3 linked regions of the Drosophila melanogaster genome follow. The gene in region 2 interacts genetically with the main gene of each other region. Each region holds a gene or a part of one and is shown on either strand. Other genes may lie near its edges. The genes, in order: Cul1, prd1 and Nrg.

The links.
Region 1: of prd1 (region 2) and Cul1, changing one enhances a phenotype caused by changing the other (phenotypic enhancement), as found in Drosophila melanogaster (one study listed by BioGRID).
Region 3: of prd1 (region 2) and Nrg, changing one suppresses a phenotype caused by changing the other (phenotypic suppression), as found in Drosophila melanogaster (one study listed by BioGRID).

What each region holds. Positions count from the first base shown.
Region 1 is NT_033778.4:7,915,381-7,919,134, forward strand, and holds the start of Cul1 (cullin 1), read left to right. Parts: upstream 1-1,573; 5' UTR 1,574-1,728; intron 1,729-1,797; exon of another isoform or gene 1,798-1,954; intron 1,955-2,351; 5' UTR 2,352-2,583; coding exon 2,584-3,459; intron 3,460-3,520; coding exon 3,521-3,754. Other genes in the region: CG12159 (uncharacterized protein), read right to left, coding at 1-141, 521-972. UniProt on the Drosophila melanogaster protein: Core component of multiple SCF (SKP1-CUL1-F-box protein) E3 ubiquitin-protein ligase complexes which mediate the ubiquitination of proteins involved in cell cycle progression, signal transduction and transcription.
Region 2 is NT_033777.3:11,785,041-11,788,794, forward strand, and holds the start of prd1 (pruning defect 1), read right to left. Parts: upstream 1,975-3,754; 5' UTR 1,583-1,974; intron 1,389-1,582; 5' UTR 1,329-1,388; coding exon 443-1,328; intron 374-442; coding exon 1-373. Other genes in the region: HisCl1 (Histamine-gated chloride channel subunit 1), read left to right, coding at 2,542-2,654, 2,725-2,908, 2,982-3,291, 3,406-3,540, 3,602-3,754.
Region 3 is NC_004354.4:8,515,646-8,519,399, reverse strand, and holds the start of Nrg (neuroglian), read right to left. Parts: upstream 1,913-3,754; 5' UTR 1,891-1,912; exon of another isoform or gene 1,002-1,890; intron 1-1,001. Other genes in the region: CG33181 (uncharacterized protein), read right to left, coding at 3,474-3,677. UniProt on the Drosophila melanogaster protein: Essential for septate junctions. Septate junctions, which are the equivalent of vertebrate tight junctions, are characterized by regular arrays of transverse structures that span the intermembrane space and form a physical barrier to diffusion.

The sequences.
Region 1 (3,754 bases), on a different chromosome or scaffold from region 2:
TTCTGGCGATTGACCTCGAACAGGGTGTGGTCCTCTTCGTCACTATTCACGTCCTCGATGGCCATGGGCAGTGGTGTCAGCTCCTGGTTGGCGCGGTCGCCCTGCACGCCGTACTTGCGCTCCGCCCGGGAAAGTCGGAGCCTGCAATGATTTGCGATTCGATTAGTCTTATCACCAAAAATTGCTAGTATAATAACTTAATAATGTAGGTATGTATGTATAAAGTAAAATTCAGTATATATAGGTAGTCTGTTTTGCATATAGTCCACCGATAAGAATATTTAAAGCTACATATTTAAACATTACGCTTAGTTTTAAATTAGTATTCTAACAATATTTACTGGAAATTTTAATTTCAAGGCACGATAAAGGATCGCTGTAAACTTTTGAAATCCTTAAAAATCTATTCTTTGCTGTTTTACCTTTGCATTACAAAATAATAAGGAAGACTTTGAAATAACCTTTCATGCTTTTCTGGACTCTAGTCTAGAGCTCTAGGATATGTCCTTCATTAACTCACCTATAAACCCTCATAATAAGCAGCAGTATTGCAGTACTGGTGATTCCCACGAGGATGTAGACAACAGCCTGGCCCGGAAAGTCCACATCGGGGGACATGGGAGAGCGTTCAACATGAACATCATCCACGGGAAGACCTCCCGGAGGCTGCACCATTTCCGGTGCCTTGGCATCTCCTGGTGAAACTTGTGTGGCAACCGAAGCACCTGGAGCAACCGGAGCAGGTCCGCCATCGTCTACGACCACCATAGAATCCTTTGGTCCTGCCGGAGGATTCTCTGCTTGCGATTTCTTCACGACTGGCTTTTTGGCCTCCACCTCAGCAGCCGGCGCACTCTGCTCCGCAATTACCACCGTCTTTTGGGGCGTCTGGGTGGCTGCGTCACAGGATTGCTGGTGGAAGAACAGCAGCAGCAGTGCTGCAGCCACTAAGCAGAAGCAGCGACAGGACATCTTTTCGTATCCAACTATCAAAATTACTAAATATAGCCGCTTCTAAGCATAAACAATGACCTTTTAAATTTCTTTGCTGCACTGTTTTTGTTTTGCTTGGCGTCAGAGTTGCCGCACATGTCAAAGCAAACGAATCGAAATTGAAGTAAATGCGTATGCCTTCTATACACGGTCACATTGGTTTGAGTCCTGGAGGAGTTGTGTTTCGTACGGGCATTAGGGTGAACCTGTATAAGACTATATAAGCATACCCTAATTATTTGAAAAGGGTTTTATTATGCAAGTGCTAAGACCAATCGTTTTATATAAAGTATAGATTGTTCTCAAGTTCCAGGAAGTGTGCCCAGGAAAATGACATCTATAAGAAGGTTTCTGTAACCGCTAACGGATTTGTAAAATCTAAGATACGAACCGCGTTGCCGATATTTTACATCACGCTTTGAAGAGCCTAACAGCGATATTTGATATTATAAACTATAATATAACTGCTTTCCGTGTAAAGAATTCCCTGAAAAATGAGATCGCCACCAATAGTGGCGCCCAATAAATAGATCGCCAACGATAGCTGGTCTTAAGCGATACCACCGTCGAGGGCCTTGCAGCGCAATGGCCGAACGGTCACACATTTTAATAGTTAGGAATAAACGAAAGTTAGCAATTTTCACAGAAAAAAAAAATTAATTTAATTATAAGCAAAGCAGTGAAACACAATTTTAATTTAGTTTTAGTTTTAATTTTAGCAGCGTCTGGCAACAGGTAATATAAAGCAAAATGAGGGAAATGCAAAGAGACGGGATTTCGTGCTTTGAAAATGGCGAACAAAAGAGAAAAAGTGTGTGTGCTCCAAGGGGAAATCAAATCCATCACGACGTCACGAAAAGAAAACTCAGTCGCACGGCTCAATTTACCAGGAAAATAAATTTCGTTTGGAGGGAGCTATGTGAAAAATCGAAAAAAATGTTAACAATTTAGTTGTGAAATGGTTATGTCCGCTATCTTTTCTCTTGGCTTTATGTGCCTTTGTGTGGGTGCGGGTGTGTGTGTGAAGGCGAGGGCGACTGCATATGTGTGCATGCGAGTGTTTATTTAACCAGGAAGTTGGGTTTTCGAACACGATCTAACGATAGCGGGGGCGGTGGTGGGGCTTCACCTGCCATGCGATTGGCCAATACCCTACATTGCAGGGCATGTCCGACCACCGCGCATTGCATTACAGCTTGTGCGTGCATGTGTGTGTGTGTGTGTATTCCGCAAGCCTCTCTTTTATTGCTGTGACATTGGATCATAATAGGCGACCTTCGGGTCGTCGCTTTTAACGTGGCGAGGCCTACTACATTCCCAATCCCATTCCGTTTTTGTACCGATTCTCTCATCTGCAGATTGACACTTTAAATTCCAAAATTGGAACACCGATTCGCCAAGATTCCGGCCACAACTCCAAGGACGAGAGCCGCGAAACGACGCCACCTGGAAAGCAGCAGCAATCCCCTGTCGCCCGCGCAGCATTCGCCACCTAGGGTCATTGCCTTCTCCAGCCCAGCGCCACTGCAGGGACAGCATCCTCCAGTGGAAGAAGGCAGAAGGCCGTTGCCACAACCCACCGCCGCCAGAATGAACCGCTCCGGCAATTCCCAGACCACACAGAAACTCGTCAACCTGGACGATATCTGGAGCGAATTGGTCGAGGGCATTATGCAGGTGTTTGAGCACGAGAAGTCCCTCACCCGCAGCCAGTACATGCGTTTCTACACTCACGTCTATGACTACTGCACCAGCGTGAGCGCGGCTCCAAGCGGACGGAGCAGCGGAAAGACAGGCGGAGCGCAGCTGGTGGGCAAGAAGCTGTACGACCGGCTGGAACAATTTCTCAAGTCATACCTGAGCGAGCTGCTCACCAAGTTCAAGGCCATCAGCGGCGAGGAGGTACTCCTGTCGCGCTACACCAAACAGTGGAAGTCGTATCAGTTCTCCAGTACCGTTCTGGACGGCATCTGCAACTACCTGAATCGGAACTGGGTGAAGCGCGAGTGCGAGGAGGGGCAGAAGGGTATCTACAAGATCTACCGACTGGCCCTCGTCGCCTGGAAGGGACATTTGTTCCAAGTGCTAAATGAGCCGGTCACCAAGGCAGTGCTCAAGTCCATTGAGGAGGAGCGTCAAGGCAAGCTCATTAACCGGTCGCTGGTCCGCGACGTTATCGAGTGCTACGTGGAGCTCAGCTTTAACGAGGAGGATACCGATGCCGAGCAGCAGAAGTTATCCGTCTACAAGCAAAACTTTGAAAACAAGTTCATCGCAGACACATCAGCCTTCTACGAGAAGGAGTCGGACGCCTTTCTGTCCACCAACACGGTCACCGAGTATCTGAAGCACGTCGAAAACAGGCTGGAGGAGGAGACGCAGCGCGTCCGCGGCTTTAATTCAAAGAACGGTCTTTCCTATCTGCACGAGACCACAGCGGATGTGCTGAAGTCCACATGCGAAGAGGTGGGATTGCCTACCGTGTCCAACTTTAAAGCCGCCTACTAACCGAATCAATGTCTTTCAGGTTCTTATCGAAAAACATCTGAAAATCTTTCACACCGAGTTTCAGAATCTGCTCAACGCAGACCGAAACGATGATCTGAAACGGATGTACTCCTTGGTCGCCCTCTCGTCCAAAAACCTGACAGATCTCAAGTCCATCCTTGAGAACCATATACTCCACCAGGGCACGGAGGCCATTGCCAAGTGTTGCACTACCGACGCGGCCAACGATCCCAAGACGTACGTACAGACCATC
Region 2 (3,754 bases):
CTAAGAGGCGGTGACTCGGCCGCCGGCCGCGATTTGTGCTCTGGTGTCTGTTCCAGCTCAGGGACGCATTCCACCACCGCCTGCAGGTCTTCGGAGCCCTCGGGAACTCCGCGCTCCGGCAATGGCATGGTAAAGATGCTCTTTAGCGATCCAAATATCATCTTGCTACTGTTGTCGAGCAGTTGGTGCTTAATGTCGTGCACGTTAAACTTTTTTACCCGCCCATTGAGATCCTGCTCGAGTATGACATTTGTATGTAGCTTAGTTTTCTTTAAGCAGCTTGATTTCGGCTTCTTCTCCTTATTCCATACGGACTTGACTTTGGGACTGTCAGCATCTCCGATATTGGGCTCTGAATAGTAGCAATTGTCACCTAATTGTGGGATAAAGATTAATGTGGATATACATCACAAGGATTTAAGCAGAATGTTATATAGCTTACCGATTAGATTGTTGTTAGCATTGCTCATACCAATGCAATCACATGAGCTGCTCTTAGCCTGCTCGTACTGCTTACAATTCGCATTGGAATTTTTGTCTTGTTCGTCGGAATCCAAACTGGAGTTGGAACTGCTGCACACGCACTTGTAAAGTTGGGGTTGCTCTTCCTGTTTTTGGGTCGCAGGGCCGTACTCAAAGACACCTGAGGTGTCATAGTGCAGACCGGGCGCCTCGTCCGTGTCAAAAATGTTGTCGTAGTCCAGCACATCCGAGCAGGCATTTCGGTAGACCAGATGTCTCTTTCGCCTGGCACCTCCGCCACCGGTAGCCTCCTCGCCATCGTCTTCCCTGCCAGCGGCACTGAGTTCATTAGGTCCCTCCGGACGTTCCCGATCCGGACACCAGGAATATCGTCCTGGAGCGCCGGCCACGCCCGCTGAGTTAGCGAAGGCCAACTTGCGTCCGTTCTTGTAGGTGATAAAGCCATGCTCAATGTGAATGTTGTCGGTACGAGTGTTCTTCAGTATGTCCTCGTGGAAGGACACTCGCTTTTTGGGAGTTTTGGAGGCGGACGAAGCTTTGTGCACTTTGCGACGGTATACAATCTTCTCCGTGGTGTCGAACGTAGAGCACTCGCTAATGGTCATAGACTCATCCGGCGCTGCAGTCACATTGGAGTTGGGATCCACCAAAGGGAGGGGCATCGGTCTAACGTTTTCCTCGTAGGAGCAAATGGACTCCACCATCACATCGCTGTTTTCCGAGTCCAGGAGTTGTACTCCCGAATCGCTGGGCGTGGTGTCCTCCATGGTGCTGCTGTTCAAGCTGGAGCTCATCTTGTCCATGCCCAAATTGTTGTTGGCCTTGGGCAACAGAGGTGATTCCATGGTCGTTTCGATTTTCGCACTTGTCAAGAGTTATCTACGCAGTGATTTTCGTCTATTAACCTACGGAAAATTGTAAAAGTCGGTAAACCATTATTTGTGTATCTCGGCGTTCTTGCTATTAATCAATATCCACAAGTTGCACAATGCGCCGCAGCAAATCGCGCCAGTGCACAAAGGAAAATGACCCCTGACCCAGCACCCCCTTGAAAATCGCACCGGGATTAAATTCACACACCGCTGCTTCTGTCACTCACCTGCGATTGTATCGCAGGATTCCATGTTACTGTCGATCTGGGTGGTTTACGTTTCCTTTTACGCTTGCTTTAAGAGTTTTATGTGCAGATTTATCGCCACTTGTACATTTTAGAATTGCCAAAAAAAAACGTCTTGGCAAGTGAAACAATCAATATTTTGACCTCATAGAGTTGCCAGTTCCGCGAACAGCTGATTGCGCGCCAGAGCTGCCAGATAAGAGAAGAGGTTGGCAACGCGGCCTGTTACAGCAACGGGAAGTTCCGGTTTTCAAATAATATTTTTGTAAATTTTAAAATTCAACAATTATTTAACACATTATGTAAAATGTTCCTGAAGAGTTAATTCAATTTTAAGACAAGTTTGTATTCGGCTTTTATTTAAAATATTGTAGAGCACGTATTTGCATTTCAAGAAAATTGGGATTTAAAGTTAAGAGCAAACCCAGAACAGTTTGTGAAAACGTACTTCGAAAGCAAATGCCGGAACATGCCGATAAACCCATTTTTGACATCGACAGTTGGCGCCCAGTTCGCTTGTTTCGCGCAGTCAAACGGTTTTTCATATTTCACAGATATTATTCGCAAATACAGAGTGGACATTTAAATTAATGCCCTTGTCAGTGGGTGCGAACATCATTTCCTCTTTGCCATTTCGCTAACCGGGGTCAGTTGTCAATTTGAAAAGTAGTGTAGTGTGGGCGAATGCCAATGAAAGCGAATGAAACCTTAGAAATCAATTTATCACACTTTGCAGCACATCACAATCGTCGCGATAACTCTGCCGTTTCTTTATTGGTTTTTGCTGCGCGACGAGTAAAATATAATTCCTCGCTTACTAATCCTCCGAGCAAGTTCATTCTCAAGCGCACCCAGAGATGAGCTACTTTGGGAATTGACATGGACTGCGGAGCAATGAGTGCCAGAGGAACAATATCAAAGCCGAAGGTAGTGTGTTCATAATGCAAAGCCCAACTAGCAAATTGGTAGAATTCAGGTGCCTGATTGCGTTGGCAATATATTTGCACGCGCTGGAGCAATCGATCCAGCACTGCCATTGTGTTCATGGTTACAGGTGAGTCCGAGTGCGTTTGCCCAGTTTCATCAGATTTACGCCACAGGGCTGTTCTGTTCCACATATGCAGAAATAACACGGAGAGCGCCGAGCTGGTCTCCCACTACGAGTCGAGTCTTTCGCTCCCGGACATTTTGCCCATTCCCTCAAAGACGTACGACAAGAACCGGGCTCCCAAGCTCCTCGGCCAGCCCACAGTAGTCTACTTCCATGTCACGGTCCTCTCCCTGGACTCCATTAACGAGGAGTCTATGGTCAGTAGAATGTGTTCATCTTTTCAATACTCATCACTCAGCAAACACTAATTGGCTTATCATGCTCCTTTAGACCTATGTGACGGACATCTTCCTTGCACAAAGCTGGCGTGATCCTCGCCTGCGGTTGCCTGAGAACATGAGTGAGCAGTATCGCATATTGGATGTCGACTGGTTGCACAGCATTTGGCGGCCCGATTGCTTCTTTAAGAACGCCAAAAAGGTCACCTTCCATGAGATGAGCATTCCCAATCACTATCTCTGGCTGTACCACGACAAAACGCTGCTCTATATGTCCAAACTCACGTTGGTCCTGTCGTGCGCCATGAAGTTTGAGTCCTATCCGCATGACACGCAAATCTGCTCCATGATGATCGAGAGTTGTAGGTGGAAATGTAATGGTTATCTACACCCTGCAAATCCCGTATCGCTTGGAACTTTCCATTCCGCTTCTCGAATTACAAATAATCTGTGTTGAACCGAGTTTTGATTGGCAGTATCCCATACGGTGGAAGATTTGGTTTTCATTTGGAACATGACCGACCCACTTGTGGTTAACACGGAGATTGAGTTGCCGCAGCTAGACATATCAAATAACTACACAACCGACTGTACTATAGAGTACTCAACAGGTAAGACTAAACTATTAAAAGCCATTTTTTTCAATATAATTTATATTTATTTTATCTCTAGGTAACTTCACCTGCCTGGCCATTGTGTTCAACCTGCGCCGACGCCTGGGTTACCATTTGTTCCACACCTACATCCCCTCGGCTCTGATTGTGGTCATGTCTTGGATATCGTTTTGGATAAAACCAGAAGCGATACCCGCCCGTGTAACTCTGG
Region 3 (3,754 bases), on a different chromosome or scaffold from region 2:
TTTTAGCAAATATTTTTTATTTAAATACTTTTAATATGTTGTAAGCATGTGAAGTAATATCTTCATCACTTATTGTATCTTGTATCTTTAGCCGGACATCCCCACACCAAAAGGCCAACAAGGGCATTTATTAACTAGCTAATTTTTAATGCTGCTTCAGTTGACGCAGTTTCAGTTTCTGTTATTTCTTTATTTATTTATTATTATTTTTCTTGATACGTTTTTGGGTCGATTCGGGGCGGAGGCATTGCTGTCGACGGCGTTGCTGGGGCGGAACGAACTGCCATATACATATGCATATATGTACATACATATATATAAACCTATTCACAACGATGACGTCGTCGCGATGACCGCATGGTCAAAAGCAAAAACCACAAAAAATAGCGGAGAGAAGTACAAAATGTATATATTTACCTAACTAAACTCAATTCAGTTTGCAATTGAGAATCATTGAAAAAAATTGAAAATCAGTTGTTTCAGATATTGCTAAATTTAAAGAATTTTAAAGTAAATGAATTAAATGGCTTAGACGAAAATAAAACTGAAAACGCTAAAAGATTGTTTGTTTTTTGTATCTTCTAAATTGTAAATGGAAAACCCGTTATCTCTGTACTTGAGGTATGAAATCGAAAGAATTTAGAGAGAAATCGCTAGGAACGTGGAAAGTACATGTGAAAATGCGAGAAGAGCGCCAAAGTGGCGACGAACGAGGGAGAGGGCAAAAAACGTAAAAAGAGCTCAAAAAGTGATCTCTTGAAGCTGCCCCACCTTACACACACACACACACACACACACCAAAACAAGAACACCGACACACGCACACACACATGCCGTAATTCGCGCTCATTGTCTGCGCTCTTCTTCTTCGTCACCATCTTCGCTAGCTGCTAGAAAACCTGTTTTAGAGCCACCAATAAAAATGAAAAGAAAAAAACAGTGTGTGTGGAGTTAAGATTACGCCCTTGGACGAAAACTTGGTTCAAATCCATAATGCTTACCTTTAAGTCATAGAAGCCAGCAGCAGCAACAACAACTAGATGACGGGATTCTGCCAAAAAGCGCTCAAGAATCCAAAACTCAAAACTCAGGTAAGAGAGAGAGAGGAAGGCGGGAGAGGGCGACGCGCCAAAGCGTGAGAGACGGAGCGAGTGAGAAGGAGCCACTCAATAACTCGCTTACGAAGTTTTGGCTTCGTGGTAAATACATATGTACATACAAAAACAACTAGAATACAACAAAAAAATAGGAAAAATAAAAAAAACACAGAGCTTTAAATGTTGAGGTTTTGAGCGCTCTTGTACAGTTAATGGCGCCCATTGTTGCTGTTGTTGTTGCCTTTGCGTGGCTTTTGGCGTCCTCCGATTTGCTCTCCTTCTCCTTTTTTGTTGTCATCGTGTGCTTCGTACAATATTGCATTGCCATTCATTTTTAATCAATTGCATTAATGAAAACCATCAACTATTTAACTTTTTGGGTGCGGCACAGTGTGCAAAGTAAAAAAACAACAAAAAATGAAGGTGGAAGTAACGCAAGGAGACAAACAATTTTGTTTTGGGTTTTTTTTTCTTCCTTTCGTTTGGCAACCAATTTTTCTTATTTTTTTAAAACAATTCCCAGACAAGCACACCCGCACACTCACACACACGAACGCACACTAAAAAAAAAAAGCGAAGGCAGAGCTAAAACCAATTTATATATTGGCGGAGTAAATAAGACAATTTTCTACGCGGCGTCAGTTCGTTTTTTTTCCTCTTTTTTTTACTATTTTATTTTCAATTCCCGGCGCTCACTAACACTAACACCGACGCATATACACACACACTGGGACAGTTATGTTATACACGCGGAATTTTTAGGAAAAAATAAATAAAGTTAGTGCTTAAACACCCAAATAACGATATATATTCGCTCGGCTGCGAATATGTATCGCGGTGTTTTCGGCGTAGTTTTCAGTAAATACGATTTGGCGGACATACACAACCAGCAGCGCGGATATTTTCTTTTCGAATGCGGAGAGGAACTGCCAGCCTCGCGAACGGTAACAATCGGACGCACGGAATGCGGGGTGGCATCACCGACAAACTGGTTTACGGTTATCGATATTTATCTAAGATATACCAACTATCGATTGATTACCAGGGATGCGATATACTTTTAAATAACCTACGCTCTTATCGATATTTGTAACTCTTTAGAGACTCTTATCGATAGTGTGTTCAATGCTACCCATAACATGAATGATATATCGATTGATGAACTGGGCGCCAAAATATTCAAATTCAAATGGTTTTACGTTTTAATTACAATTCTGAGCAACGCTAAACAGAAACATAATTAATTATAAAGATATTGAAACTATTTGGATTTCTTTCGTTTATTCCAACATATTTATTTAATTGGTATTATTGTTTCAAGTATTACACAATATTGATGCCTTTTCTCTTACGTTTTCAATTAATTTATTATTATTATTATTATTATTGTTATAACTAAATATCGATCACATTTCCTTTCAGAACGTCTCTCATTCTCATCATTTTAATCCCTGTTCACTTTTTGATGCGGAGCAGAACGCACAAACTCCTGCATACACACTTCCTTTCCATCGTCCTAACTAATTTGCAATCATATATATCGCAATTCGCGGTTTAATTATTGCTTCTCCTATTTCTTTTTATCGCTCGCGCTCTGCGGGGGGGAAATGGAAAGGGGGATGGAAGGGGACAATGAGAAAAGTAATATTAAAAAAAAAAACAAAATCGAAAGCGAGACTTGCAAAAATCAAATCTGCGCTAATACTACATAATTGGTTAAGTGTAAATTAAGGATTTAAGTAGGCTCTATTTACGTCTACGTTTTGCAATTATTATTTGGCTGTTTAAGGTAATCAAGAGCGAAAGAATCAAGAACCAAAGTGGGAGAAAACAATTTGCGTGGCGTAAATGTTCTTTTAGTAATTCTTCGTCGTCTTTTTCTCCCTATACAATGTATATACTTTTCTTTAAATGTGTATAATATTGTCCTAAAAGCCTTAAAAAATATGACGCAGCGGCCTGCAATTCTACATATGCCTATATATAGCCTGTATATATACCATAATCGCACATAATTTCTCGGTAGAGCAAAAGGAACACAAGCAAAAGCCATGTGAAGAAGGACACAATGTAAAATGATATCATATCTCTTAATATCTCTCGCCTCGAGCATTCGACATGCATCATTAAAAGTTAGTTCGTTTTATAGCGGTTTCCGTTTCCGTTTCCGTTTGGTGTTGGGAGGTTTTTTTTTTTTGTCTTGGATTTAAGATTTTTGGGTGGCTGGAGGAGGCTGGCTATACGTACAATTTCTATGTTTTCTGTATATTTGTTTTAGGTACATAACAGTTCTTTATATTGTATGGTGTGTGTGTATGTGTGGCTGCCTTGTTTATCGTTCTACGTTACTCCGTACTCCCTATTTCGTTAGCTACATTAGTTAGGTGCGTTTAGTGTCTCCATTCCGGATCCGTACTGCATGCCCACCGACATGGTGAAGAGCCACGCCACCGCCAGCAGACTGCTGCCGAGCAGATCGCCCAAGGCCGTCAGGTAGGGTATGGCCGAGTTATCCGGATCGATCTTCCACTTCCACATCGCGTGCACAATGATGTGGGCAATATACAGCAGCAGCATCACCTGAAACGATCGCAGCACATTAGCGTTGTGTTTTCGGAGGGTTTATAATGACATATGTATGTATGTATGTACATACA